7 linked regions of the Cricetulus griseus genome follow. The protein of the gene in region 7 interacts with the protein of the main gene of each other region in a pairwise test. Links are inferred from orthologs where the notes say so. Each region holds a gene or a part of one and is shown on either strand. Other genes may lie near its edges.

Region 1 (3,500 bases), on a different chromosome or scaffold from region 7:
GACATGTACCCCAAACAAAGGGACAAAGGAGTCTAGGTCCTAGGTCCACAGCACAAAGAACACAACGATTAACCAGCTCTAGCCTACAGCATTCATATGGGACCTGAGTAACTGAAACCAGAAGTGTTAAGAAGACTATGAAAGAACTCCTGTCCAGACCAGGGGCAAGTTTGGCTTAGAGCTCTCCTAACTTGAAGGTGCAGGGCACATTTACAGACTGATTTTTTGGCTCTCTTAACAGCCAGGTATGGTGGTTCACACCTTTAGTCCCAGCTACTCAGGAGCCTGAAGCAAAAGGATTGCATGAATCCAGGAGTTCAAGACCAGCATAGGTAACAGAGATCCTCAACACACACACACACACACACACACACACACACACACTTAAAATAAACAATAAAAAAAGTATGATTCCATCAGAGTTTGGGAGGGGGAATCACAGGGAAGCCCAGGCCAAGTTCCAAAAAGGGAAGAAAGAGAGCATACTGACTGGTTCAGCCGAAGGGCCTTTGAGGCTCTGCTCTCAGGAAAGCCCATTTCTGTGAGCTGCCGTAAGGCAGTCTCATCCACTCGCTCATCCTCATCTTCATCCAGCATAGCTGAGAAAAAAGAGAAAACCTGTCATGAGGGGATTCCTAAGCCCTTTGAAGCTCCGTAGTCTCAACTGCAAAGGCTCTTAGCAATTACTGATGCCACAGAAAACTCAGGCCCTAACATCAGCTCTTACACATTAGGAATGGCCACACAACAGGCCAGGAGCCACACACACCCACCCCATAATCAACTGAAAGCAGAACCTGCTTTCAATGTGAGGGCTGGGGACACATTCTGAGGCTTGAGCAGACAGTTGGCGGGTGCAGGCTAGGACCCACTCATACCATTTGCCTTCTTAAACAATTCAACTGCATCAGGATTCAGTGCTAACAGCTTCTGTGCCACCTCAATGAGAGACACCAAGATCTTCCGGAGTTCGGTCTGGAACTGTAGTAGAATGAAGAAAGAGATCATGCCTGGCACAGTGATGCACACCTGTAATCCCTGCTCTTGCAAGGCTGAGGCAGGAAGACTGCTGGGAGTTTGAGGCCAACCTAAGCTATACGGTGAAACCCTGTCTCAAAAAGAAAGAAAGAAAGAAAGAAAAGATCATTTCTCTGAATGTCCAACAAACCTAATTAGATCTGCAACTCTACCCCTGAACATAGCCCTCCAAATCTATGAGAGCATTTGGCCTTCACCTTTAATCCCAGCACCTGGATGGCAGAGGCAGACAGATGTGAATTCAAGGCCATCCTGATCTACAATGAGACTCTGTCTCAATAACAGACTGGCGACATCAGAGACTCCTTACCTCCACTCTAGCACCAGTCCCCTGCCTGATACTGGGCCTGGAGGTGGGACATTACAAGCCTAAAGCCTCCTGAGACCCTATCCAGGGTTGGACCCACAGAAACCAGAGAGGGACACATGTGCCAGCCACTGCAGAAGAATTACAAAGCTCTTATCAAATGGAACTCTTTGGGGCTGGAGAGATGGCTCAGAGGTTAAGAAGACTGGCTGCTCTTTCAAAGGTCTTGAGTTCAATTCCCAGCAACCACATGATGGCTCACAACCATCTAAAATGAGATCTGGCGCCCTCTTCTGGTCTGCAGAGACACATGCAGACAGAACACTGTATACATAATAAATAAATAAATCTTAAAAAAAAAAAAAAAAATGGAACTCTTCAAAAAAGACCCCAGAGAGGTTCGGCTTCCAGCAGTACCAGTATGGATCCAGAACTGATAAAGCTGAATGCTGGCCACTTTCCACAATTCCTGCATACAGAAGCATACTTTATCATGGACTAACCCACGTTAGCATGCTGTAGGCTTCTGACTTAGTTTTCTTGTCCAAAGTAATTGGGGAGCTCAGATTCCTCCCTGGAAGCTTTGTTGAATTCAGAGCAAAGTCACTGCATTTCCCTACAGCTGTCTGTCCAGGGCTATAGATATCTCGTCAACTTTGTAGTTTGAAAAAAAAAAAATGTAATTTATAGAAGAGTCCAAAAGTAGTAAAGAGTTCCTGAACATTCTGTTTCAGATTCCCTTTTTTTTGTTTTTTTTTGGGGGGGAGGATGGGGGTGGGATGAGGGGATGACTATAACATCCATGTTAGCCTCAAACCTGAGCTCAAGCCATCCTCCTGCCTCAGCGTCCTGAATGTCACCACACCAACCCCAAGCACTTTTAAAGAACTTCTTGTTATCCCACAGGACATGCCCCCAGTTCCACACCAGGCAGGTACTCACGTCTCTCATGGTGGTTTGAACTGCAGTCCGGTCTGTGCTACAAGCAGGCAGGTTGGCTGTTGCCCGGAGGATAGCATCTTTGTCTGGAGCCTTCTGCTCTTGTTTCTTCTGAAGAGAAAATGATTCAAGTCAGAAAGGAAGAACCCAAGAACATGAGGAGTATGACAACAAACTTGGACCAACAGCCCACATGGAGAACAGTAACCTCCTAAGCTTTAGCTGTGATGATGCCCTTGAGCTAGAAGATTCTGGGAAGTTTCGGGCACCGCATTAGAGGCAGAAGCCTAACAAGATGCTTAGGACATGATCTCACGTGCTATAAACCATATGCAGGTGAAGACAGAGAGGTTGAGGCTGCAGGAGTGGCAGTCCTGTAGTACTTTGGTGGAGCTGGGGCTGAGGCCTCCAGGGCTGTAGTGAAGCCTCCACGAATGAAAGGAAAGGATGAAGGTGGCAGAAGCTCACAGATAAGGAAGACAGGAGAGAAAATCAAACCAGCAGAGGAAGCAGCACTTGGCATGTTCAGAAGGCACAAGAAGGCACACACAGGATGCAAAGAGCCCACAGGATGCAAAGAGCCCACAGGATGCAAAGAGCCCACAGGACACAGCCTACTAAGATGCAACCTACTCAAGAGCACTGGGATACTGGTGCCAGAAAAGACAGGCCTGGGATCCAAGAGCCAGAATGATACTTGTACCTACTGGCCTTGGCCAACAACAGTCTGGTGAAACCTGAGAGCCTAGAGTGAGAGGCTGTTCTGAAGAGAGGGAGGGAAAAGAGGGAAGGGGAGAACCTTCCAGCACCCTGCTACTGCTTTGCTTCCTGTTCACCCCAGCTACTCACAAAATCATCAAACCAACCAGAATAGGTGAGACTGAGGAGTAGGATGGGTGCAACAAGTTCTCTACCCCAGAGAGCTCAGCAGCTGGCACAAGCCATATAGCTTCCAGGGCTCGCAGAGGCTAGGGGTGTAAGGAGGTAGTGAGGAGGAAGAGGAGGACGAACAGGTAAGGAAAGTGGGTACCTCACTACCTGCAAACCAGAGCCACACCAACCCAGCTTGTCCACACCAGGCAAGAGCCAAAACAGCAAGGTAAAGGGGTTACAAGAGCTAGTTCCAGGACGGCCTCCAAAGTCACAGAGAAACCCTGTCTCGAAAAACAAACAAAACAAAACAAAACAAAAAAAAAAAGAAATTCCATAACTCCTC
Region 2 (4,083 bases), on a different chromosome or scaffold from region 7:
GAACCTTTCAATAAAGTTATTTTCAGCTGCCCAGATGTGTGTTGTAATGGCCAAAGGGATGGGCGGCTAGCAAATCACTGAGTATTCCTCCCTGGACACAGCAGTCCAGGAAGGAGGCTTACAGACTTGGAGGAGGGCAGGGTTGGACTGAGAAGAGGAGAAGGCAGAAAAGAAGTCATGAGAGAGGCTGGAGACTTCTGGCCCCACCCCTGCCCACTTTGGGACCACAGTTTTATTCCACTGTCTTGTTGATTGATACTAGAGATAGTCACCTGGTCTCTCTACTCACCTAAGCTCCCAAAACCATTTTTATAAAAATTAGGATCCCTCAATTTAGTTCCCTTAACAATGAACCCTACTGCCAAGTTTCTTTTCAGCCCATTAGCTGGAGCTGAGCTCCCAACACGAAGGGCCCCAGATAGAGATAAGATAGATGACTCTCATTCTAATCTTTTTCTTTGGGGTTTGGGATTTTAAAATCCACAGTGGATGTAGCTTTCTGCACATTGATTGACAATAAAGGCAGGCATGAAATATTCACCCAGGGCCACTCTCTCATACTAAATATTTAACACAACATTAGAGAAGGTTTTTCCCAGACTTTGCCAGGCACCGGCTGGGCGGCTGGCGCGCTGCTCACCACTGGTTTATGACTAATAGGAGTCCCTAGCCAGCGGCAGCATAGCAAGCTAGGCAAAGTTGGGACACAAGCTCAGAGCTGGGCTGCCTCACCTTTGGGAAACTTCAGATACTCTTCTTGGGAACCTGTCCTATGAGCGAGCTCACCCGGCTCTGTCCAGGAAAATAATCTAAAGGACTTCAAACTCTTGTAAATAGACACTGATTCTTCAGGTAGAGGGGTAAGAGCCCCTGAAACTTGAGGATTCAATATTCCTGGGGAAATCAGGTAGGAAAAAGTCCTGCCTCTTACCCCAGCATATCATAAGAAGGAGGCCAGACCCCTAAACGGAAAGCTCTCCTCCTTCCCCCAATCCTGGGGGTGGGGGGAGCAGCAGCTAGGAAAAAATACAATTACCCCCTCCCAGCCACCGCCCCCGCCCATCCCACCGCCCACCCCACCCCAACCCTCTCTTTCTCCTCCTTTGCTCGCTCTGTGGAATGGAGAGGAGGGGAGTGACGAGAGAAAAACGAATACAAATCTGCAATTGATTTTCATAATGTTTCTGCGGTGTTTGCAAACCAATCGCCTGAACGTCCCCGATCTTACCTAAGAGAGAACCCCTCCTACGTCTGCGAAGTGCTCCGAACTGATATATGACAATATCTACTTTGGATCACGTGCTCGGGGAGAGAGACTAAGACGGATAACGCGTCATCTCGCCTTCCCAAAATTTCCCCCCTCGCTAGACCGGGTCCAAAACCTCCATCCGGAGCAGGCAGGAGAAGAGAACGATGTTTAACTCGGTCAACCTGGGCAACTTCTGCTCGCCTTCGCGCAAGGAGAGGGGTGCTGACTTCGGCGAGCGAGGGAGCTGCGCTTCCAACCTCTATCTGCCCAGTTGCACTTACTACGTGCCCGAGTTCTCCACCGTCTCCTCCTTCCTGCCCCAGGCCCCCTCTCGTCAGATCTCCTATCCCTACTCAGCCCAGGTGCCCCCGGTCCGGGAGGTCTCCTACGGCCTGGAGCCGTCCGGCAAGTGGCACCATCGGAACAGCTACTCGTCTTGCTATGCGGCGGCCGACGAGCTTATGCACCGGGAATGCCTGCCTCCTTCCACAGTCACTGAGATTCTCATGAAAAATGAAGGCTCCTACGGCGGCCACCACCACCCCAGCGCCCCACACGCGGCCCCCGCAGGCTTCTACTCCTCAGTCAACAAGAACAGCGTCTTGCCCCAAGCCTTCGACCGTTTCTTCGACAACGCCTACTGCGGTGGCGGAGATGCGCCTGCCGAGCCCCCCTGCTCCGGCAAGGGCGAGGCCAAGGGGGAGCCTGAGGCGCCCCCGGCCTCGGGACTGGCGTCCCGGGCAGAGGCCGGTGCTGAGGCCGAGGCCGAGGAGGAGAATACGAATCCCAGCTCGTCTGGTTCTACCCACTCAGCGACCAAGGAGCCGGCCAAGGGAGCCGCCCCCAGTAGGTAGCAGCGGCCGGGAACCCGAGGGCAGCGAGGGAGGGAGCGGAGAGGGAGGGCTGGAGTAGGGGGGAGGCCAGGGAAGCGCGGACAGCCTCGTGTTTTGGGTCAGTCCTATTTTATGTGGAGTTTTATAAGCATTCAAAGGATTTTATTATAACCTACAAAGCCCTCTCTCCCAACGACTCGACTTTTTACGATGGAGAAGGGGTGGGGAGGGGAGGGAAAGGGGCTCTTTGGAAAAGCCGGGTGAGCCCCCCTCCTCCGTTATCTCCCTCGGTCTGTGAAATTTTTAAAAGTGCCACCATTGCGGGCGATATTAACTTTGATCGTGAACTTAGAGGAGCGTTTAAGAAAGGATGGGGAGACGGGCTGCCGGGGGGTTGGGAGGGAGGGGAGGGGTGGAGGGGGAAAGGGAGGGCGAGGGACAGACCGGGAGAAACCCAGAGAGGGGGAGAGGTAAGGGACAGAGCGACGAGGCAGAACTGGAGCCCAGACAGGCGCTCCAAGGCAGCTCCGCTTCTTTTTAAAACGACTTTTTTTTTTTTTTTAATGTTCAAATTACATGCTCGCGGGTCTTTGAGTAGAAATCCAGGCAAGCTGGGGTTTGGCGGTGATAGGGGAGTGGGGAAAAGATCGGAGCTCCCCTGAGCTGTTGGTGTCGGTGGTTCTCCAGGGTCTACGCCCTCTGGGAAGGCCCAGCCAGGCAATGTGCGTAGCCGGGCAGATAGGCGGCAGGGCGTCCCGGGGAGCCAGGGCCTGGCTGGAGGCTCCCGTGTATTCAGCTACCTCTACTCGCTGGTCGCCCCCCCCCCCATTTCCCACTGCTCTCGCCAGAACCCAATTCTTTGCGCCGATTCTCCGTGGCTCCCTCCGATTTCTGGAGGAGGGGGAGGATCAAGGACTTGCAGAAGCTTTAGAAGGAGCAGGCAGGGCACCCCCAAGGAAAGCACGTGGCTAGGGCAGGCTTTCCTCCACCCGTAGACACTGTCAGCTAGGACTCTGGCCTGAGAGGCAGGGGCACCAGGTCCACACTGAGTGTGTGGACCAAGCTAGACCTGACAGTGGGATTGAGGCTTGCCCCAGCGAAGAGACTACGGAACAAGAGTCGCCGGCCTAGGGGGAGGGCTGCCCAGCGGCAGGACTGACTGGGAGCTTTGCTGCTGAGCGTTCAGCGTCTGGGGTCCGCTGGGGTCGCCCGGGGTCTCACGTGTCTCTCTCCCCTCTCCTCGCACTTGCCCCCTCCCCTCCCTCCAGACGCCCCCCGCACCCGCAAGAAGCGCTGCCCTTATTCGAAATTCCAGATCCGGGAACTGGAGCGAGAGTTTTTCTTCAACGTGTACATCAACAAAGAGAAGCGGCTGCAGCTGTCCCGGATGCTGAACCTGACTGATCGACAAGTGAAAATTTGGTTTCAGAACAGAAGGATGAAAGAAAAAAAACTGAGCAGAGACCGGCTGCAGTATTTTTCAGGAAATCCGCTGCTGTAACTGCAGACCTAGCCCTTTGGGGTGGGGGGAGGGAAAGGGGGAAATTTATTTTATTTTATTTTATTTTCTAACTCGTCTTTTTTCCGCGGGTGGAAAACTGGACTGCGGCCAGGGCTGGCCCCCCACTGCCGTTACTGGCACTTCCTTCCAGAACCTCCTTCGCCTCGGGTCTAATTCACTGTAGGGACAGCGACTCGGCCTGGGAAAAGGCGTGAGGGAAGTGTCTGACCCGTGGCTAGTGGACCCGGTTGGCGCCAAGGCCCCAAGACTGTTTATTTAAAAGAAAATACACCTTGCAACAAAGTCTTGCTGCTTGGATTGGGTGAGGGGAGGGGCGAGCACAGTGGGCGCCAGAGCCGAACAATCCTTGAACTCCAAGCCTTCCCTAGCCCAAGTGAAAAGATCCGCTGAGCCACCTTGTCTGTGAGACCTCCTGGACTCCCCGCCCCCCACCCCGCCTCGCCCCTCGGTTAGGGGACTGCTAAATGTGATCCTGCCTT
Region 3 (4,028 bases), on a different chromosome or scaffold from region 7:
TACAGGCCTGCACCATGAGTGCTGCCTAAGGCTGTGGCATGCTGGGCAAAGTCATGTTTTATCGCTGAGCTACATAGTCAGCTGCTGCCATTTGCATAGACACAGGACAGTGTTGGGTCCATAGGTATGACACAAGCTCCCAAGCCCCACGTTGTAAATCTTGAAGACTAGGTTTTTGTCCAGTTGCTACAAAAGTCTATTGATGACCAGCCAGGGACATGCCCAGGAACAGACACACCTTTGTTTATGTTTCCTGTGTGGCTACTGGCCTCCAGTTACCCAGCTCTAGACAGAGTTCTGTGCCTACGGCTACCTGGAGTAAACTTTTGATCCTTGCCCTTAGAACTCTTTGGGAAGGAACTGTATTGTCTGTGTTTAATACAGTGCTTCCCCAATATTCAAGACAGTTAGATAACTGTCTTGCCACTTGGATAGCTGCATCGTCATCTTGTTTCCTGTTTTCCCAAGTTACCTGGACAAACAGGAGCTTGGGCTCCAGGAGCAGGCCAAGGGTTACTGCTGACACTAGCATGACTTTTGTTCTTGACTGTGAAAACTGCACTTTCTTAGATGGACCCTAGTTACCCAGAGACAGCAGGATGATGAGACACAGACTGAACTTGACCTTTGTCCCTGTCCAAGCTGAGGATTCCCACATGATCCTGGGCAACTCCCCAGTCGCTTGGAGCCCCTGTGCTTTGCCTCTGTCTTAGCCTTGGACCCAAGAACTGAGGAACAGGGAGATAAGGAAGGGGGTCTTACCAGCTCTGCACCAGCTGCACTGAGGGGGTGCCCAGCACTCTGTCGGGAAGCAAGTTAATCTCTTTCATGATGTTGGCCAGGCGCACAGGCAGCTCCTGCCTAAGGAAGGTGAAGGAAGTTTTCTCGCAGGCATTGCTGGATCCTGAGGGTAAAAGAGGGGTCAGTCAATAGCTGCAAACCACCAGAACTGGCACACACGTGGAGACTGGGAATGACCAAGTGACCTATCCATGGCACACAGTAAGGCAGCCCTCGTAACACTGCAGTGCTTGAGCCTTCCCAGGGACCCCGCCACCTAGCTTGGCACTTCAGGAGCAGTATCACCTGTGACTGACCCTCAGCTAAAACCCCACTTGTCTTTAACCAGGGAGACAAGATGTTTCTAGGGCTCATTCTGAACTGTTCTGGCCTAAGTCACCTCAATTTTCTTCTCATCCCTCTAGGTAGGCACTGATTCCAGGGTACTGGGGGCAGGGGAAGAGGTCCCTAAGAAATCCTTCCCTCCCTGGGGTGCTGTGACTAGATTCCCAGGACTGCAGGAACTCAGTTAATAACCCTAAGGCAGCCCATCTCATCCAGGCTGATGAGACAGATGGATGCCAATGTAGAATTGGCCATGTTTAATGACCATCTGTGAAGCAAATGGGGACCTTGGTCCAGGGTCAAGAGGAACAGGCAGTGGAGGAATGAGTAGTGTTAGTCTAGAGACAGGAGACCTAGGACCGAGACTATGCCTTGCTTCTGTCACCAAGGGTAGGTCACCATCCTTTTGAGGGATGTTTTCTCCATATAGGTAGACTGGACTACTGCAAGCCTTTCCAGCTGTGACACTTTGCTGGGGCTTTAGAGTGGGCCCTGAAGGATTTCCCACACACGAAAAGCTCAAGACTCCAACAGAACAAGGAGAAACAAAGGCACAGCCTGGAAAACAAGTGCCCAAATCTTGTCTGCCACCTCCCTATCTTCCTGTCTGTGACGCAGCTGTAACCTAAGCCAACTCTTGAAAGACCTGGACCCACTCCTGATCACCAGCTGGCACATGGGAATGCCATGTAGACAGACAGGGACACACTTGGCACAGCTTTCTCCTGCCCCAAAGCTACCTCGACACCCAGAACACTGGTAGTGGGTGATCTTCAGAAACCCAGGGACAGCCATAGGAGAGTATAAGCCACCTGACTACCTCATGGTAACTTGGGCTGTGCCCAGCTAGGAACTGGCTGCCGAGCCAGAATGGATTTGATCTTCAAGTGTCCTTGCCCAGTGGGCAGCTGCAGTGGGTGGAGGCTCCCCAATCAGGGGAGCTCCTGTCAGCACCTCCTACTTAGAGGGCCCCCTTCCCAGCTGCCCTGGGATTTCTCTCTCACTCAGCTCAAAAGTACCCCACTCTCATGCACAGCACCGGTCTTCTAGATGATTGGATCTCCCTGGCACTCCCAGTAGCAGGTCCCATTTACTCCTGTCAGTAGCCACGATCTCCCATTAGCTCTATCATGTCTGGATGAGGCCCTATAACCTCGCTGCCTCTTACTCTCCATGACCCCTCCCAACGCTTCCCCCGAGCCCCCATTCTTAGTAACTGTGTGAAGGGGGCACCCTTTAACTCTTTCTGGGCAGCCAGGCTTGCCTCGCCATTTACCCGTTCCTGTCCATACTCTTCCAAGTCAACCCTCCTGCCGCCACCCAGAACCTCTTCCTCGAACGTTAACCTGTCATTGCCAGGGTCTCCTCCTCCGCGCCTACCGCCCCCGGTGCCCACCTACGATGACTCCGTACCGAAGTCTAGAAACTGCTTCATGGACAGCGGGGACGGGGAGAACTTGCTGAAGTGCTCGATGTACTTGGGCGCCCCTGCTAGGGACGCATTCTTCAACAGTGCCCGGATCCAGCGCATCGCGACGGCGCCCGCGGCTTCGGCTCGGCTGCCACTGCTGTCCCGGGGCTGGAGGTGCTGGCACCGGCCCTCCGCTTGGCCCAGCTCGGCCGGGAGACGCGCTTCGGCCACCTCCTCCCTATCCCTGCCCTGGCTGAACCTCCAACGTCCAGCCAATCGGTTTGTCCCTGCGCCCTGACGTCGCCAATGGCCGCGCACAAACAACTCCGGGATAACCAATAGCCTTGCGCTTCGACACGTGGCTCTTCTCGGGGCCCACCCCCTTAACCGTGTAGGTGCTGGAGGTGGCCTGTTGTTTTCCGCCGCTGAGCTCAAGTCCCGCCTCCAGTTGCTAACTCCCCTAGACTTCTAAGGGGCGAGACCTGCGTTAACCCTTTCTTTCCCAGAGTCCCGCTAACCCTTCGGTTGGCCTTCTACTCTTTTGCGTTTCCTTGGATTCTTCCCCCGGCCTCCTTCACGCTCCCTCTCCTTTAACTCTTTCTTCCCCGCCTTGCCCCTTTCCTAAAGGCACCTGTTCCACCTGTCTTGATGTTCACCTGTTCTGCCATAGGAGCTCTTGGTAGTTTTCCATTCCTACGATGGACCCAGAATGAACACTTGCGAAATTTGGAACCAGGATGCAAGCTTATACTATATCCTACATGCCTGGAACCCTCTAGCTTCTATAAATATCCAAGTGGCCCAAGAAAAGGCGGCGTTTTCTTTTTCACGTGAAAAACACCCAAAATTGGGGTGGGAGTGTAGCCCCGAGGGTCTGGTACTTGCTTAGCATGCATGTAGCCTTATATTGACCTCTGTCACTTGAAAAACAACAACAAAAACACCCCGAGCCAAATCCCTCAGGACTAGCAGAGCCAGAGGCAGGTACTAATTTTAGGAAGTTTCGTTGTATTATTACCTAGCTCGTTTGACTAAACAAAAACCTTGAACGTCTTGCAAACCACCCAAGAAGGCAACCTTCTGTGTACCTAGCCTGAGAAGGCAACCATCTGTGTGTCTGGCTTCCTTATTACAAGTATCTTAGGAGCTAAGGAGCTCAATATTCCTAACAGCCGGAGCCTCTTCCCTGCAAAACGCCATGCGCCCCCTTTTGGTAGACCGTGGTGTGTTTCCTACTCTGCAGGTCTGCATGGGGTTCCTTAGTTCTTTGCTTATTGACCCACCCTTGCCACACCCCTGCTAAGGGATGAGCTTTGTTCCAAAACACAGGCAGGATCAATGCACTGGCCTTTAGTAGGGCCTGGTGTTACTCTTGGAGGCAGGAGGCAGGAGGATTTCAGTTCAAGGCCCACATGAGGTAGAGTAAATTCAAGTACAGCTGGGGTAATTTAATGAGATCTCAAAAGTGAGAGGAGGAACTGGAGCTGAGGTG
Region 4 (4,060 bases), on a different chromosome or scaffold from region 7:
CAGTGATGCATACCTGTAATTCCAGCACTCAGGAGATGAAGGCAGGACCAGAAATTCTGGGTCATCTTTGCTAAATAGTGAGTTTAAGGCCAGCCTGGGCTACTTGAGGTTCTGCCTTAACAAAAATAAACATACAAAAACACCAAACTAACAAACAAAAAACCCAGGCCATTGAGCTGTCAGCCTGACAGGTGGGACTCCCTGCCACAGGTGAACGTGCCACCGCATACCTTGAGCCAGCCACTGTTATTGGGCATCGCTTGCAATGAGACCAGCGCGGGCAGAGCCAGTGCAGAGTTCCATGTCCAGTGAGTGGGCTCTGGGGTGCAGGATCCTGGGTGAGGTGGGTGGGGAAGGAGTGGGTGTGAGGCGACTCGAGTTCTGTGGGGTTCCCATAAAGTCTGGACACCAAGCCACCCTCATGTTTTTGTCTAGGTGCAGCCTAACTTCAGAGGAGGTTAGGAGTTATTACATGAGTGGGGGACCTGAGGCCCACGAGTCTACAGGAATCATCTTTGTGGAGACACAGGTGTGGAGTTGAGGCCTTCACGGTGGTCTGGTATTGGGGGGAAAGAATACTTGGGTGAGGCAGAGAACTCCCGGGTCTCCTAGAGTTTCCAGAGGCACAAAGCTTGGGTCCTACCTAAGGGGAAAGCCCATGAACGGGGATAGACAGGAGTACTGAGATTCAGTAACTATAGGCAGAAAGTGAGGCCTGATGTCTGGGTCTCACTGATTTCTCTCAGAGGGTACAGAGACTACAGGAGACAGAGATGTGGGCACAACTCTGCCCTTCAGCCAAAGGCGCCATCCTCCTCTACAATCGCCATCCTCCTTTACAGTCGGGTGCTGGGACGTCCCGCCTGAGTCATCCTAGCGTCCCAGCCCTATCACTGCAGCTCTAAAGACAATAAAGGACTTTTATTCTTGGATACCGTTGCCTTCTGCTGCTTCTGCTAGTCTGGGATCCTCCGGGAGAACCTGGGGTGGGTGAGAGGGGCTGGCCACGTGGCAACGCAGCCTCCGTGTGTCCCTGTTTGGAGAAGGCGGGCCACGGCGCAGAAAAAGCACCTCTTTGAACCGCGCCTGGCTGCTCAGAGGGATGGGGCACGGGACGGGCAGACCCCGGTACCTTTCAGAAACCCCGGCACTTCCGCTTCGCGGACTCTGGCGTTTTAGACCAATGAGCGTACGGGGGCGGGTCCTTTGTTCGTGTACCCGCCTTCCTGCCCAATAAGAGTGGCGTGAGCCTTACACCAATCAGGGCTTGGGGGCGGGGCCTGTGCGGGCGCAGGAAATGGCGGCGACTGTGGAGTTTGTGAGTGGGGGACAGGGGCGGGGCTCTGCTGTGGCTCCTCCTCCTCACGCCCACCTAACGCTATAGATGGGGAGGGGTGTCCCGGGTCCTGAGCCGGTGATCTAGACTTGGAGACCAGTGCTGGAGGCCGTAGCACTCGCGTCTGAGTCTTGAATAAAGAGGCCTTTCTGAAATCTGCTTCAGTCTGGCTTTGTGGGAAACTGAGGCAGGCTCCTTCTCTCTTCCCCGACACCCGAGGTCCGGCCCAATTGATTGGGATCCAATGCATACCTCTTGGGGGGTCCTCCCTTTCCCAGCTGCCCCGCCGCTGTCATCATGCCGTCCCTGTTGCTCCTGCTGCCCCCGCGCCTATGCCGGCTGTGGCCCTACAGCCCTCCCACCCGGCTTCTCTCAGCCGCCACAGAGCAGCGGTGAGTTGAGCGCCAGATCTTGGCCATGTTGTTCTGTGATTTTCTATTGAGAGCCCTGTGTTCTGAGATAGCTGTCTGCATTATACGCCAAGTGCCTTTAGAGATCTGTCCCAGATAACCCTCACCTTCAGAGCTGGACACTGAGTATCAAGGGTTCAGAGCAGAGCCCCAAGATTAAGTGAGATAAGTGGCAGGTCGGGAATTTGAGCTCAGGTCAAAGCCAGTGCTCTTTCCATAGTTCTGGTATGTTGTCAGCCTTCACTGTGCATACACTGGAAATGAGGAAAGTTGAGTACAAAGATTTAGATTTCTGGGCTGCGATCTGGAGATGCTGGTCAGGAGGAATGAGGGGGGGTGAGGGTGGGAATCTGCCTTTTCCTTTTCCTTTGAGATGCAGTTTTTCTATGTTGCCCAATCAAGGTTCCAAACACAATCTCCAGAGTATCTGGAGTTCAGATGTGCCTTGTCTGTCCCTTTAAACCCTAACACGAGTCATCCTGACCTCACCTTGACCATGCCCTGGTTAGGTGTGGTTAGGCACACCTGTAGCCAGTTTCTAGCAGGTGTGGCTTACACTGTCCCCTACACACCACCACCACCCGGCTTTAAGGCTTTAATTTAAATTAGAAACAAGCTTGTTTTACTTGTCAATCCCAGTTCCCTCTCCCTCCCCTCCTCCCTTGCCCCCCACCGACCCCCTATCCCATCCCCTTTCTGCTCCTCAGGGAGGGTAAGGCCTTCCATGAGGATCTTCAAAATCTGTCATATCATTTGGAGCAGCCTAGACACACCCTCCCCCGTGTGTCTAGGCTGAGAGAGTATCCCTCTATGTGGAGTGGGCTCCCAAAGTCCATTCATGTACTAGGGATAAATACTGATCCACTACCTGAGGCCCCAGACCTCCAAACTGACATCCTCTTTCAGGGGGTCTGGAACAGTCCTATGCTGGTTTCCCAGCAATCAGTCTGGTGTCCATGAACTCCCCTTGTTCAGGTCAGCTGTTTCTGTGGGTCTCTCCAGCCTGGTTTTGACCCCTTTGCTCATCACTCTTCCCTCTCTGCAACTGGATTCCAGAGTTCAGCTCAGGCATATAAGGTAGTCATCAATCTCATTATCGGAGAAGTGCATTTAAGGTTGTTAGTTGGGATCAACCTTGTAGATATCTGGACATTTCCCTAGTGACAGATTTCTCTTTAAACCTATAATGGCTCCCTCTGTTATGGTCTCTCTCATCCTGCTCTCCTCTATCCTTCCCCTGACTCGATCCATCTTGCTCTCTCATGTCCTCCTCTCCCCTCCTCTTTCGCCTAACTCCCTCTCCCCTTCCCCCATGCTCCCAATTAGCTCAGGAGATCTTGTCCCTTTCCTCTTTTCTGGGGACCAGTCACAAAAAGACAAACATGGTATGTACTCACTCATATATGGATTTTAGACATAGAGCAAAGGATTACCATACTGCCAGAGAAGCTAGGAAACAAGGAGGACCCTAAGAGAGACATACAAAACCTGCTGTTTTAAGTAAGTCTTTAGGAGCTGGAGGATGGCTCAGAGATTAAAAGCATTTGCCAGCACAGAGGACTCAACACAAGGACTTACAGCCACACTCTCTGACCTGTTGGGAGCACCAGGCATTCATGTGGTGCACATACCCACAAACAGTCATATACATAAAATCAAATAATAAAACTTTAAAGAAGTGTTTAAGCCAGGATGGTGGTGGGACAGTGGTGCCCACTGTCAGCCGCAGAACTTGGGAGGCAAAGGCAAACTCTGTGAGTTTAAGGCTAGTCTGATCTACCTAGGGAGTTCACGTCAGACAGAGCTAGTGAGACCCTGTTTTGTTTGTCCCCCCCCCTTTGTTTTTTTTTTGTTTTTGTTTTTTTGTTTTTGTTTTTTCGAGACAGGGTTTCTCTGTGGCTTTTGGAGGCTGTCCTGGAACTAGCTCTTGTAGGCCAGGATGGTCTCGAACTCACAGAGATCTGCCTGCCTCTGCCTCCCAAGTGCTGGGATTAAAGGCGTGCGCCACCAATGCCCGGTAGTCCCCCCACTTTTTTTTTTAAGCAGCAGAACCCTTTTTGGGTCTGTGGTGTAGGAGTCTGATGAGGAAGACACTTTGAAACTAAGAAGTCCTGACCATTCCTGAAACATCCCAAAGGGAAGGGTAATCTGGAGCAAAATGTGTCTTGGGACTAACTTCAGTTCCTGGTGACTGAATTGAAGGGTGTGCCCAGAGAGGATGGCAGGACAGGGCAATGATGACCTTTGGTCTCCTAAGCCTCTGTAGGTTTGGGCTTCTCTCCATAGGTCTTCTCCGTCTAACTACTACGAACTG
Region 5 (3,500 bases), on a different chromosome or scaffold from region 7:
ACACAGCCATAGATCATCCAACAGATCATAAAAAGCAAGAAGAACAGGTATCCCATAAAGTACCTATGGTTGCCTGCACCTAAACAACACAGAAGCAATTATGTCAACTGAGAAAAAACGACTGGGAACACACCTTCATCAGGTGTGCTATGACAGATACGATACAACTTGGACAATAATCAATACATCCATTACTTATTTTGTGGAATGCTTTGAGAAGATTGATTTTTTTTGTTTTTATTTTCATTAACCATGGAGTTTATTAAAGGGGGGAAAGAGCGAGGGGGGGGAAGAGAGAGAGAGACAAAGGGAGAGCGAGAGATAGAGAGGGGGGCGAAGGGCAAGAGAGAGAGCCAGCGTGAGGACATTGTTTTAGTAAATGTTTTTAAATAAGAATGCTGGCAATTACGATCATGATGTGATGAGATCACTGGCAACCATTCTGAAGGAAGGATCCCAAAAACTAGCAAAACATAACTATGGCTTTCAATCCTATTCTTATGGTGTAAGTGTCCTGTCAAACCCATTCCATCTTCCTTTTATAACCCTTACAATCACGATCTCCTCTCCCATGGTCACAAGTCTTTGTAACCATTTCTTTTCTACCTATCACCCTTTAATCTCCAAGCCACTTTCAGATCACTGACCTAATCCTCTCAGATTGCACCAGTGGTGTGAGGTGTGTAATTCTTCCTACCTGTCCCTCTTCTCTGTCTCTGCACATAACTTTTCAAATATTATTATTGCCTTGCTTTCTCCAGTTTTCTTCAAATATCATTTCCCTCATCAGACGAGTTTCATTGTTACTCAGTGGGGAAAGAGGACAGTAGACACCAGAGAGAATGGACAGTGAAACAGTTCGACTCTTCCTGACTGATTCTTACACACACACACACTTACACACACACACACACACACACACACACACACACACACACACACACACACACACACACACACACACACAACCATACACATACATGCACCTTGATTGAGTTGCCATACAACCAGGAAGCATGTGGGGTATAAGAATAACTATCTATTTAAATCCTGTATGTCAATAGTTATCTAATAGTAATTTAAGTTAACAACATTCTAAGAGATTGCTAACACAACTTACCTACACAGTTACCCACCCATGGGCAATGATGATCAAATTTTGCTATGCAGCGGTTGCACACACCACAGTGTTTGGACCTCACCGGCTTCCGAATCTATTAATAAACATATTAAAGTATTATAAAAAACATTGCATTAAAAAAAGCTGACCAGGAGTGGTGGTGCATGCCTTTAATCCTAACACTCAGGAGGCAGAGGTAGGTGGATCTCTGTGAATTCGAGGCCAGCCTGATCTACAGAATGGGTTCCAGAACAGCCAGGACTGTTACTCAGAGAAACCTGTCTCAAAAACAAAATAAAGCAAGAAAAGCTGAACATTTATACTTTCAAAGTAGAACTGTGAAAAAATATAACTGTATTTCTGAGAATTATACCAATATTCCAACCAATAAAACCAAAACTACTGTTAATTTGTTCAAAACAAAAACAATAGCAACAAAGACGGTAAAATATGAACTCTTAAAACAATTTCTAAAAGAGAAGGAAAGAATGGAGAATGGAGAACTGATTTACAAAAGGTAACCAGTGAGCTTTTAGGGCTGTTTCTTCTGGGACTGAACACTGTGTGCAGGACAAGTGTTCTATGGCTGTCCTAACTCTCCAAAAATAAGAATAAAGTTCATGGGGTTGGAGAGATGGCTCAGAGGTTAAGAGCACCGTCTGTTCTTCCAGAGGTCCTGAGTTCAATTCCCAGCAACCACATGGTGGCTCACAACCATCCGTTATGAGATCTGGTGCCCTCTTCTGGTGTGCAGATACACATGGAAGCAGAATGTTGTATACATAATATATAAAATAAAATCTTTAAAAAAAAAAAAAAGAAGAAAGGTCAATTTGTTACAATAAAAGATGACACAATTTGTATCTCATGTTTCTAAACAATACAAACATCAGCACTTCTAAACTCTTAGAAATTCATTTGGTTGATGATCATGATGCTGGTTGCCCTTTAATTAAATTTCTTTTGATAAAAGGAAGGTTGCATTAAAACTGAGTAAAACAGCTTTTCGTATTAGAAATCTTTAATGAAGGCACCTTCCCCAAAATAACAAATCTAGCAAAAATAGTTGTGTTCTCTTTAACTGCCTCCTGTAATCTCAAATTAGGTTCAGCATTTCCCCTGCTAGAACTGACAACCATATGGATTTAGTAGTCTTATTTCTTAACAAAAAGCCATTATTCTGGTCTTTATAAGCACTACAATGCTATTTATAGTACCTCTCCCTCTACTGGGTATGCTAAATCAGCCAAGGGGGAATCTGGTGTAAAGATTCCCAAGTCTCCTTCATTAAATGACATTTGAGGAGGAGAAGAAAAGCACCTTACAAGAGCACCAAATTTCAAACAAAAATGAAACATTAAAAAAAAAAAAAATCTGATCCTTAACAACAAGGTAAAGGGTGAGTTGGTCTCAAGGTTCTTAAATATAACACCCTTGGCCTGTAACCAACTAACTCATTTCTAAAAATCCAATCTGCAAGTCTTCTTAGGAAGTCATCTATTTATCTATGTAATAAATAATTAAAAGCACACACCACAGAGTGAAAATTATGTCTTTATAATAGGATATGCTCTATAATGAGGAATTATCCACCAAAAAGTACATGGTTTACAATACATAATAACAAGTTTATGCCACCATGATAAAAAGCCACCAGTTATTTATTTAACAAGAAAACTTCTATCTACACTGACTATAAAATTTGCATATCACATGCAAGCACACATGGTATATGCATGACTTTGTGGAAGCTGATTATCTTCACAGAATAGCAGTGTATCACAATAAGAAACAGTAACAGTCTTCTATATTATCCATGGTAAAGCACAGAAACCAAACTTGTAAAATAATACGCGCATGTGCAAAAGAATGCAGCCAGTGCTCAAACATCACTGCCAAAAGCAGAGCAGTGTGCACTCTGAACACCCATTCACAAATGGGAAATTAAGCTGTTTAAAACCTTCCCATAATCCTAAGCTATCTCAACTACTTTACTAATGCATTTACTATTATGTACTAATAACAAGACATTGGTTTACTTTCGCTATACAACTTAAATGCATTTAGTTTCATGTATGATTTGGGGGAATGTAACCATGTGGTAGTGTTTAAAGTGTTTTCACAAATACTGTAAAATAATCAAAAGTTTAAATTTAAAATGTCTATGATAAAATAGTCATAACTGTAACTGATTTCATAAACAATACTTTCAAGTCTTAATGTATGACTTGATTCAAAACAACCACTTTTAAATTAATGACAATGTAGTACTTTAAGTTGCTCAGATACTTCCAGATAAATACTTGTATTTGTTACAAGACTATGTTGTCTGAAAAATAATCCATGGGATTTTGATACTGTGACTTTTAAACTCAAGAAT
Region 6 (4,143 bases), on a different chromosome or scaffold from region 7:
CAAAACAAGAGCCTTTAATCCCAGCACTTGGAAGGCAGAGACAGGCAGATCTCTGTGAGTTTTGAGGCCAGCCTGGTCTACAGAGCAAGTGCCAGGATAGGCTCCAAAACCACAAAGAAACCCTGTCTCAAAAAAACAAAAACAACAGCAACAAAAAGTACCAAGTCAGACAGACAGTGGTGTATGCCTTTAGTCCTTGCACTCAGGAAGGAGGGGCAGGTGGATCTCTGTGAGTTTGAGGACAACCTGTCTACAAAGTGAGCTCCAGGACAGCAAGGGCTACAGAGAAACACAAAAAGCAACCATGACAAAAAGTACCAGCACTGCCTCCAAGACATTGTGCAATGCAAATCCTGTGCTCTACCAGGCCCCTTGTAGCTCTCTGACATCCCATGCCCTTTACTATCTCTCTCCCTGATCAATGGTCAAAATTCAGCTTAGGCTATACCCACCTTCTGTTCTCTGGTCTAGCTCTCTCATCAGCTGGAAGTTCCTCTGAAGTTCACAGGGAAGGTTCTCAATGCCTGAAAGAGACATCAGTAAGTGCTGTACTTCTCAGTAGACAAAAATCTACCCCCAGGGATGGAGAAATGGCTTGGCTGTTAAGAGCACTTACTGCTCTTCCAGAGGACCCAAGCTCAATTCAAATCCCTGTGTGAAAGCTCACAGCCATCTATAACTCCAGTTCTAAGGGATCTCTGATGCCCTCTCTGACCTCAGAGGGTACTGCACACATGTGGTGTGTAGACATACATGCAGGCAAAACACACATACATGAAATAAAAAACAAATAAATCTTTAGAAAAAAAACAATAAACAACAAAATCTCCAGGGCCCTCCAGTTTGGGGACTAAAATGATTAAGGCCATTTTAGGGGCAGGTACCAACAGTCTGACAGTTTCAGAAGCACTGGCAGCTCAAAGGGAGAATGCAGGAACCTGCCCCCAGCATACGCAGACAGACACCTCACCCCATCCCCAGGCCACACCACTCCTGAACTGCATCTTCCGAAGCTCAAGCCAGAACCTGAGTTCTCCTTCATTTCTCCAACTTTATCCTGATACCTACTGTACCAGGAACCATACACCAAGTGGTTCTAAGACATGCTCTCTCTGCTCGGTCCAACATATTAGCCTCTTGCCACACAGTTGTGAGCACTGGAAAAGCAAACAGTGCCACGGAGCAGCTCACCAGACCCTGTGGTTAGGCTGAGCTGGTGGGCAAACCAGCCCGTGCTGCTTTCCTGATTGTCTGCCTGCACTAAGCTTTCAGCAGACTCCAGATGCCTTCTGGGTCTTGTCACACTCCAAGTACTCTCCACAGCCAATAAGGCCAGCGTTTTAGGCCCGCATCTTAGAAAACTTGCTGCTATAACTTCCTGAGCTCCCCAAGACATTATCATCCACAGCCCGACTCCCAGGGCCCTTGGCAGCATTCTATCCTCCAGGGACCTTTAACTGCAGCCTCCGGAACTACATTTATTCACAGGCTTAATCTGCTGTGAACTTTAAAAAAAAGGGGGGGGGGGCTGGAGAGAAGGCTCAGCGGTTAAGAACACTGGTTGCTCTTCCAGAGGACCCAGGTTCAATTCCCAGAACCCACATGGCAGCTCATAGCTATCTGTAACTCCCGTTCCAGGGGATCGGATGCCCTCATACAGACAAGACATCAATGTACATAAAGTAAAATTAAATTGTTTAAAAAAAATAAAAATAGCCAGGCGTTAGTGGCACACGACTTTAATCCCAGCAACTCGGGAGGCAGAGGCAGGAGGATCTCTGTGAGTTCGAGGCCAGCCTGGTCTCCAGAGCAAGTGCCAGGATAGGCTCCAAAGCTACACAGAGAAACCCTGTCTCGAAAAACCAATAAATAAATAAATAAATAAATGGGAGGGAGTGTGTCCCTACTATCAGTGAGTTGTGGAGAAATGGGGTTCCTTCCCACAGGTGGCCAGCACTGAAATGAACCCATCTTGGATCCACATCAGAACGCCCACTGGAGGGGCTTCAGAGTGAAGACGGATCACCTTGGAGACCCACTTCCCAAGCCCTGCTAGACAGTCAAAGCTGAGGGGCGCCCCCGCCACCCTAAAGAGTGGGAAATAATCCTCTCAATTCTCGCCGGGAGCCAATCTCACCATCCATAAATAAACGGAGGAGGGCACGCCTGGGATCTCGTCAAAGATCAACCCGTTACACGGGGCATCCTCCCTTGCCGGGCTGGCTTGTGACAACACGAGTTTCCCGCGAGAAAGAACCGCACCCCGCTCGCTCGCTCGCCCAGAGCTCCCTACGCCCGCTCGGAAAGCAAACACCACAGCAGCAGGTTAGGAAGGGGCGGGCCTTCCCCCACGCCAGACTCAACGAGAGGGGAGGGGCTCGGGGCGTGGCCGGCGTCGGGGTGGGGCTGAAGCGGAGGGGGCGGGCTGAGCCGCAGGCCCCGCCCCTCCGTGACGCACCTGGAATTGGCGCGGCGGAGGCGGCGGGACCCCCGCGCCGCGCCCCCCTCCACCCACGGCCCCGCCCCAGGCCGGCCGTGAGCCCCACTGTCCCCCGGGCCAGTCCCCGTCCGCGGCCGCGCCCGGGGCCCCGCGGGTCGCGGTGGGCCAGGGGCGGCGGCGGCGCAGCCCGGCGAGGGCGGCGGCTCGGCCAGGGTGCTTACTGTCCAGATAGTGCTCCAAGTACATGGCAGTCGCCATCTTCGCTGCGGCCACGCTCGGGGTCTGCGCGAGCGGGCGGTGCCGCGGACTCGGGGCGGGGCGGCGCCGCGCGCTCACTATTCATGAGCCGCGCGCGCCGATTGGCCGGAGAAGGGGCGGGGCGCGCCAGGGCCCTCCCCCACGCTTCCGGCCGGCTGCGGTCGCCAGGCGGCGCCGCGGGGTTTTCGCTGAGGGAAGCCGGGCGGGCGGTGGAGTCGCCTCGCGCTTTGCAACGCGGAACTCTGACGGCCGCGTTCCGAGCCTTGGCGCTGCCCCGTGGAGCGCTCGACGGGCGACCTCGCCTGCACGTGTCCAAGCTTCACCTTCCGGCCGACACCTGCCGCGAGCGGCCCGGGGGGGGGGGGGGCTCAGACCCGGCGGAGCCGAGAGCTGGTGCGAGCTGCCTGCGGGGCGGTGTGGTGTGGTGCCGTGCAGCTGGCGGCGAGGTCCTCGGGGAAGGAGACGACCCGCCGCCCCCTCCCACGCACACACGCACCCGCCACCCCCTCACACACGCACACACACGCTCACACACACACCCGCCACCCCCTCACACACGCACACACACAAACACCCGCCACCCCCTCACACACACACGCTCACACACGCACGCCACCCCCTCACACACACACACGCTCACACACTCACGCATAAACACACCCGCCACACCCTCACACACACTCACGCATAAACACACCCGCCACACCCTCCCATACACACGCTCCCACTCGCGCGGGCCTTGGTTAAAACACTGATGCTCTTTGTTGCTGTGTGGCCCCGAAGGGGCGTGCCCACACGTGGTGAAGAAGCCATGCACACCTCCATGCCTGCCCCCCCCAAAAAAAAAACCTAGAAAAGCCGGGCGTGGCGGCACGTGCAGAAGCAGGTGTATCTCCATGAGTTCAAGGACTGTCCTGTCTACATAACGAGTCCTATGCCGCCCACACTAGCTAGACCTCGTCACAATTTTTTTTTTTTTTTACTTAAAAAAAATGAAGTTAGCGAGGCTATGGTAGCACACGCCTTAATCCCAGCACAGCAGAGGCAGGCGGATCTCTGAGTTCGAGGTTAGGCAGGTCTACAGGGTGAGTTCAGGACAGCCAAGGCTACATGGAGAAACCCTGTCTCTAAAAACAAAAGGGGAGGGCTGCCACTTCAGTATGTCAGATGGTGGGATCGTGTGTGCTCCCTCTGTGTCTGAACCTTACTCGGTGTTATCGTGGATGCGTTTGCCAGTCACCATGTATCTCTCTGCCACACAGAACCTGCTAAGATTAGGAAATTATCTCCAGCAAAGTTTCATGGGCGAAATTTTAGGTGCCACGTGCCAATCCTGCTTGTGCTCTGTAACTTCACGCTGGTCAGAAGCACGTATCCTAAAAGGCCGAGGGTCAAGGGCAGCTGGGGCTACAGCGACAGTGTGGGAACTACCCCTCACATCCTCA
Region 7 (3,500 bases):
TTACTTCTACATCATAGTCCATCACTGAAGGAAGTCAGGACAGGAACTCAAACAGGACAGAGGCATGAGCTGATGCAGAGGCCATGGAGGTACTGCTTACTGTCTTGTTCCAAATGGCTTGCTCAGCCTGCTTTCTTATAGAACCCAAGACTACCAACCCAGGGATGGCACCACCCACAATGGATTAGGCCCTCCCCTATCAATTACTAATTAAGAAAATGCCCTATAGTCCCGCCTACAACTCAGGCTTATGAAGGCCATTTTCTTAATTGAGGTTCCTTCCTCTCAGATGACTTTAGCTTGTGTCAAATTGATATAAACTACCCAGCACAATTTGTCTCATCTTTGTGTGATTAATGTGTAGCAGCATATGGGAGACTTGAGTCTAGCAAGGACAGCATTAAAAATGGCATGTGAAAGCTATAATCCAGAATAGCCAGCACATGGGATGTGAATAGGCTGCTTTTTCAACCAAATTGGAATTCTAAAAGAGGAAAGTTGTTTTAACTCCATCTTTCATATGTATAAAGAAAATAGGTGGTCATAAGCTATAGTCAGTTCATCATCATTTATTTCATGACTGCAAGAAAGTGTATCATGTGTTCATTGTATTCTGGAAATTGATCTTTACTAGCCCCCTTGTCTCAGTTAGGGTTTCTATTGCTGTGGAGAGACACCATTACCACAGCAGCTCTTATAAAAGAAATATTTAGTTGGTGCTTGCTTACAATTTCAGAGTTTTAGTCATTATCATCATGGTGAGAAGCCTGGCAGCATCTAGACAGACATAGTGCTGGAGAAAGAGCTGAGAGTTCTACACTTTATCCACAGGCAGCAGAAGATTGTGTTCAACACTGGGAGTAGCTTGAGCATATAAGACCTCAAAACACACTTCCTTCAACAAGGCCACTCTTCCTAATAGTGCCATTCCCTATGGGCCAGTCTTTCAAACACATGAATCTATGGGTGCTATTCCTATTCAAACCACCACACCCCTGTATTCATTACTTTTCTCATTGTTGTCATAAAACACTCTGACAAAAAGCAGTTTAAAGGAGGAAGGGTTTATTTTGGCTCACAATTCAAGGGTATAGTCCCCATGGCAGGGAAAGCATGGCAGCAGGAGCTTGAGGTGTCTGGTCACATGGCATCCATAATCAGAGAGCAGAGAGAGGAATGCTGGTGCTCAGCTTGCTTTTTTCTTTTGATTCAGTACAGTATCCCTGCCCACAATTAAAATGGGTCTTCCTACCTCAGTTGACCTAATCAAGAAAATCCCTGATAGGCACACCCAGAGGTTTATCTCCTAAGAAATTCTAGATCTTGCTAAGTTGACATCAGTATTAACCATCATGACCACCATGTAGTGAGGTGACCTGTCTGCTCTAGATAAAGAGACATTCTCCCATGGGGTGAGGTGCCCTGTCTCTTCTAGATATAGAGTAATTCTCCACTTACCCCTCAAATATCAGAAGGGGTACTACAGAGCTGGTCCAGGTCTTGAAAGCATTAGTTCCTCGCCCTTGGCTTCTTTGCCAAGCATCCTTATGCCACTACCTTAGTGGGCTGCTTTGTTGCCCCATTGAAGACAAGGATCCACTGCCCCTTGACATATGGTAAATGGGAAGAGAGAAGGAGGCACCTAGCAGGTTAGAGGTAGGCACATAGGAAGAGATCCAAAATACAGGACCAGTTGGTTAGATTTTCCAAGTTGCTAAGTTGGCTATTTACAACTATGAAAGTTCTAGCTGTGACCATAGGAATGTTTGATTTAGGGGAACTAATGATGAAATATAGTTTTTAATATTAAAGCTTGAAGTTCTACTTGAAAAATTGTTGTCCTCCCCATAACTCCTTAAATGGCTAAAAAAAATTGACAAAGCATAATAAAACTACCATATGAGGCCAGGCATGGTGTCACATGCCCTTAATTCCCACACTTGGGAGGCAGCGACAGGAGGATCTCTGTTTGTGGCCTGTTGGTCTACATCCAGGCCAGCCAGGGCTATACAGTGAGACTCAATCTCCAAATAAATAAATGAATAAGTAAGATTTTAAATTTTTGTCATGTGAAATGTTGATTTTCCAAGCATATTTTTGTCACATATAAGACCACCTTCCAGATGTTTGTTCTCAGGCTGCAGCAATGCTTGGAACATTAGCCTGGGTGCACTGTTTATAGCAATTAAAATTTGTCATCCTATAATTGTTTCAGAGAAATATAAGGTCATAAAACTAAACATACTACTTTAAAATTCAAGCCTGACAAAGAGACCAGAAGTATTTACTAAACATATGTTAAATGGAATTATTAAAATATTTATTTTTAATGTATGTAATATAGGATATACTTTTTAAAACAGAGAATTCAACTTAGAGTCATATTTTTCTTTTATCTATTTACATTCTAACTGAAAGCTTTTCTAGAGTGTATTTTCTTACTATAACAAATAACTTGAGGCAAGCTGCTTCATAAGGAAAAGAAGATTATTTTAACTGATAGTTCTATAGATACAAGGTCCAGATGCTCATCTAGTGATGTCCTTCTTGTTGTCAGAGTCCCAGTGTGGTGCAGAGAATCACCATAGTAAAAAGGACACATGAATGTCCATGTCTCTAGAATAGTCTCACAAGCATTCCTTACAGTACTCTAGTCTCGATTATCTTAGAAACAAATGCTTGTTGGATTAGCTATGTGTTTCCAGCCTGAAGAAAAGTTTACCATCTTTGCTGTTGTTTGTCTGGCCTGTAATGTTCTGACCCAGGAGTTCAACCTAAGCCTTTTGGCTCCCTGCTTAAGCCTTGGCATGAGTGAGATTGCTTCTGGCCAGAAGAGTCCTCTTTTTGAAGCAGCCCGTGCAGTGACTCTGGACCGGGTGACCAGTGTTGTTCAGCAGCTTCCTGCTGTCCATCAAGTCTTCCAGCCTTTCCTGCCTACAGAGCCAACAGCCTACTGGAGCAAGTTGAATGATCTGCTTGGTAATTTAAATATGGTTCCCAAGCCTCTGGGATCCTCCTATTATCTCAGCTGAGGTTACAGGTGCACACCCTGCAACTCAAATCCTCATGCTTTGCAGCACTTTATCCACTGAATTATCTTCTCAGCCCAAGTTATCTTAGTTTTTAAATTATTTTATTTTATGTGTATAGGTGTTTTTTACCTGCATATATGTCTGTACTGCATGCATGCAGTGCCCATGGAGCCAGAAGTTGGCATCAGATCTCATGGGACTGGAGTTACAGATGGTTGTGAGCCACTATATGGCAGCTGGGGATTGAATGTAGTTCCTCTGGAAGAGCAGCCCATGCTCTCAACTGCTGAGCTATGGCTCTAATCCCAATTTGTCATAGTTTTAAAAGTATTACAGATCCAGCAGTGCTTTGCCCCAAGTACATACGTAGTCAGGACTGTTGAGCTGCAACACTGAAAGGCTGACAAAAGTAACTGAAAAACTGCACCAAATTCTTATCTGTGAACGTATTTCGTTGTTGTTTGGCTA

The links.
Region 1: the proteins of Htt (region 7) and Ubac1 interact in binary tests that used the Homo sapiens proteins (3 or more experiments, as listed by UniProt). The link is inferred for Cricetulus griseus from reciprocal best matches to the Homo sapiens genes HTT and UBAC1.
Region 2: the proteins of Htt (region 7) and Hoxc11 interact in binary tests that used the Homo sapiens proteins (3 or more experiments, as listed by UniProt). The link is inferred for Cricetulus griseus from reciprocal best matches to the Homo sapiens genes HTT and HOXC11.
Region 3: the proteins of Htt (region 7) and Pdk2 interact in binary tests that used the Homo sapiens proteins (3 or more experiments, as listed by UniProt). The link is inferred for Cricetulus griseus from reciprocal best matches to the Homo sapiens genes HTT and PDK2.
Region 4: the proteins of Htt (region 7) and Dnajc4 interact in binary tests that used the Homo sapiens proteins (3 or more experiments, as listed by UniProt). The link is inferred for Cricetulus griseus from reciprocal best matches to the Homo sapiens genes HTT and DNAJC4.
Region 5: the proteins of Htt (region 7) and Zdhhc17 interact in binary tests that used the Homo sapiens proteins (3 or more experiments, as listed by UniProt). The link is inferred for Cricetulus griseus from reciprocal best matches to the Homo sapiens genes HTT and ZDHHC17.
Region 6: the proteins of Htt (region 7) and Ing5 interact in binary tests that used the Homo sapiens proteins (3 or more experiments, as listed by UniProt). The link is inferred for Cricetulus griseus from reciprocal best matches to the Homo sapiens genes HTT and ING5.

What each region holds. Positions count from the first base shown.
Region 1 is NC_048599.1:137,385,999-137,389,498, forward strand, and holds part of Ubac1 (ubiquitin-associated domain-containing protein 1), read right to left. Parts: intron 2,396-3,500; coding exon 2,288-2,395; intron 982-2,287; coding exon 879-981; intron 600-878; coding exon 491-599; intron 1-490.
Region 2 is NC_048595.1:399,328,615-399,332,697, forward strand, and holds Hoxc11 (homeobox protein Hox-C11), read left to right. Parts: upstream 1-1,413; coding exon 1,414-2,095; intron 2,096-3,350; coding exon 3,351-3,583; downstream 3,584-4,083. UniProt on the Homo sapiens protein: Sequence-specific transcription factor which is part of a developmental regulatory system that provides cells with specific positional identities on the anterior-posterior axis. Binds to a promoter element of the lactase-phlorizin hydrolase gene.
Region 3 is NC_048600.1:108,219,304-108,223,331, forward strand, and holds the start of Pdk2 (pyruvate dehydrogenase kinase, isozyme 2), read right to left. Parts: upstream 2,801-4,028; 5' UTR 2,657-2,800; coding exon 2,539-2,656; exon of another isoform or gene 2,522-2,538; intron 905-2,521; coding exon 763-904; intron 1-762. UniProt on the Homo sapiens protein: Kinase that plays a key role in the regulation of glucose and fatty acid metabolism and homeostasis via phosphorylation of the pyruvate dehydrogenase subunits PDHA1 and PDHA2.
Region 4 is NC_048596.1:52,462,499-52,466,558, forward strand, and holds the start of Dnajc4 (dnaJ homolog subfamily C member 4), read left to right. Parts: upstream 1-1,260; 5' UTR 1,261-1,318; intron 1,319-1,359; exon of another isoform or gene 1,360-1,614; 5' UTR 1,615-1,633; coding exon 1,634-1,728; intron 1,729-4,032; coding exon 4,033-4,060. Other genes in the region: uridine diphosphate glucose pyrophosphatase NUDT22, read left to right, coding at 211-308, 436-529, 747-905.
Region 5 is NW_023276806.1:144,559,187-144,562,686, reverse strand, and holds part of Zdhhc17 (palmitoyltransferase ZDHHC17), read right to left. Parts: intron 1,215-3,500; coding exon 1,121-1,214; intron 80-1,120; coding exon 1-79. UniProt on the Homo sapiens protein: Palmitoyltransferase that catalyzes the addition of palmitate onto various protein substrates and is involved in a variety of cellular processes.
Region 6 is NC_048595.1:445,236,813-445,240,955, reverse strand, and holds the start of Ing5 (inhibitor of growth protein 5), read right to left. Parts: upstream 2,801-4,143; 5' UTR 2,699-2,800; coding exon 2,662-2,698; intron 2,354-2,661; exon of another isoform or gene 2,145-2,353; coding exon of another isoform or gene 2,138-2,144; intron 525-2,137; coding exon 453-524; intron 1-452. UniProt on the Homo sapiens protein: Component of the HBO1 complex, which specifically mediates acetylation of histone H3 at 'Lys-14' (H3K14ac) and, to a lower extent, acetylation of histone H4. Component of the MOZ/MORF complex which has a histone H3 acetyltransferase activity.
Region 7 is NW_023276807.1:103,859,681-103,863,180, forward strand, and holds part of Htt (huntingtin), read left to right. Parts: intron 1-2,765; coding exon 2,766-2,979; intron 2,980-3,500.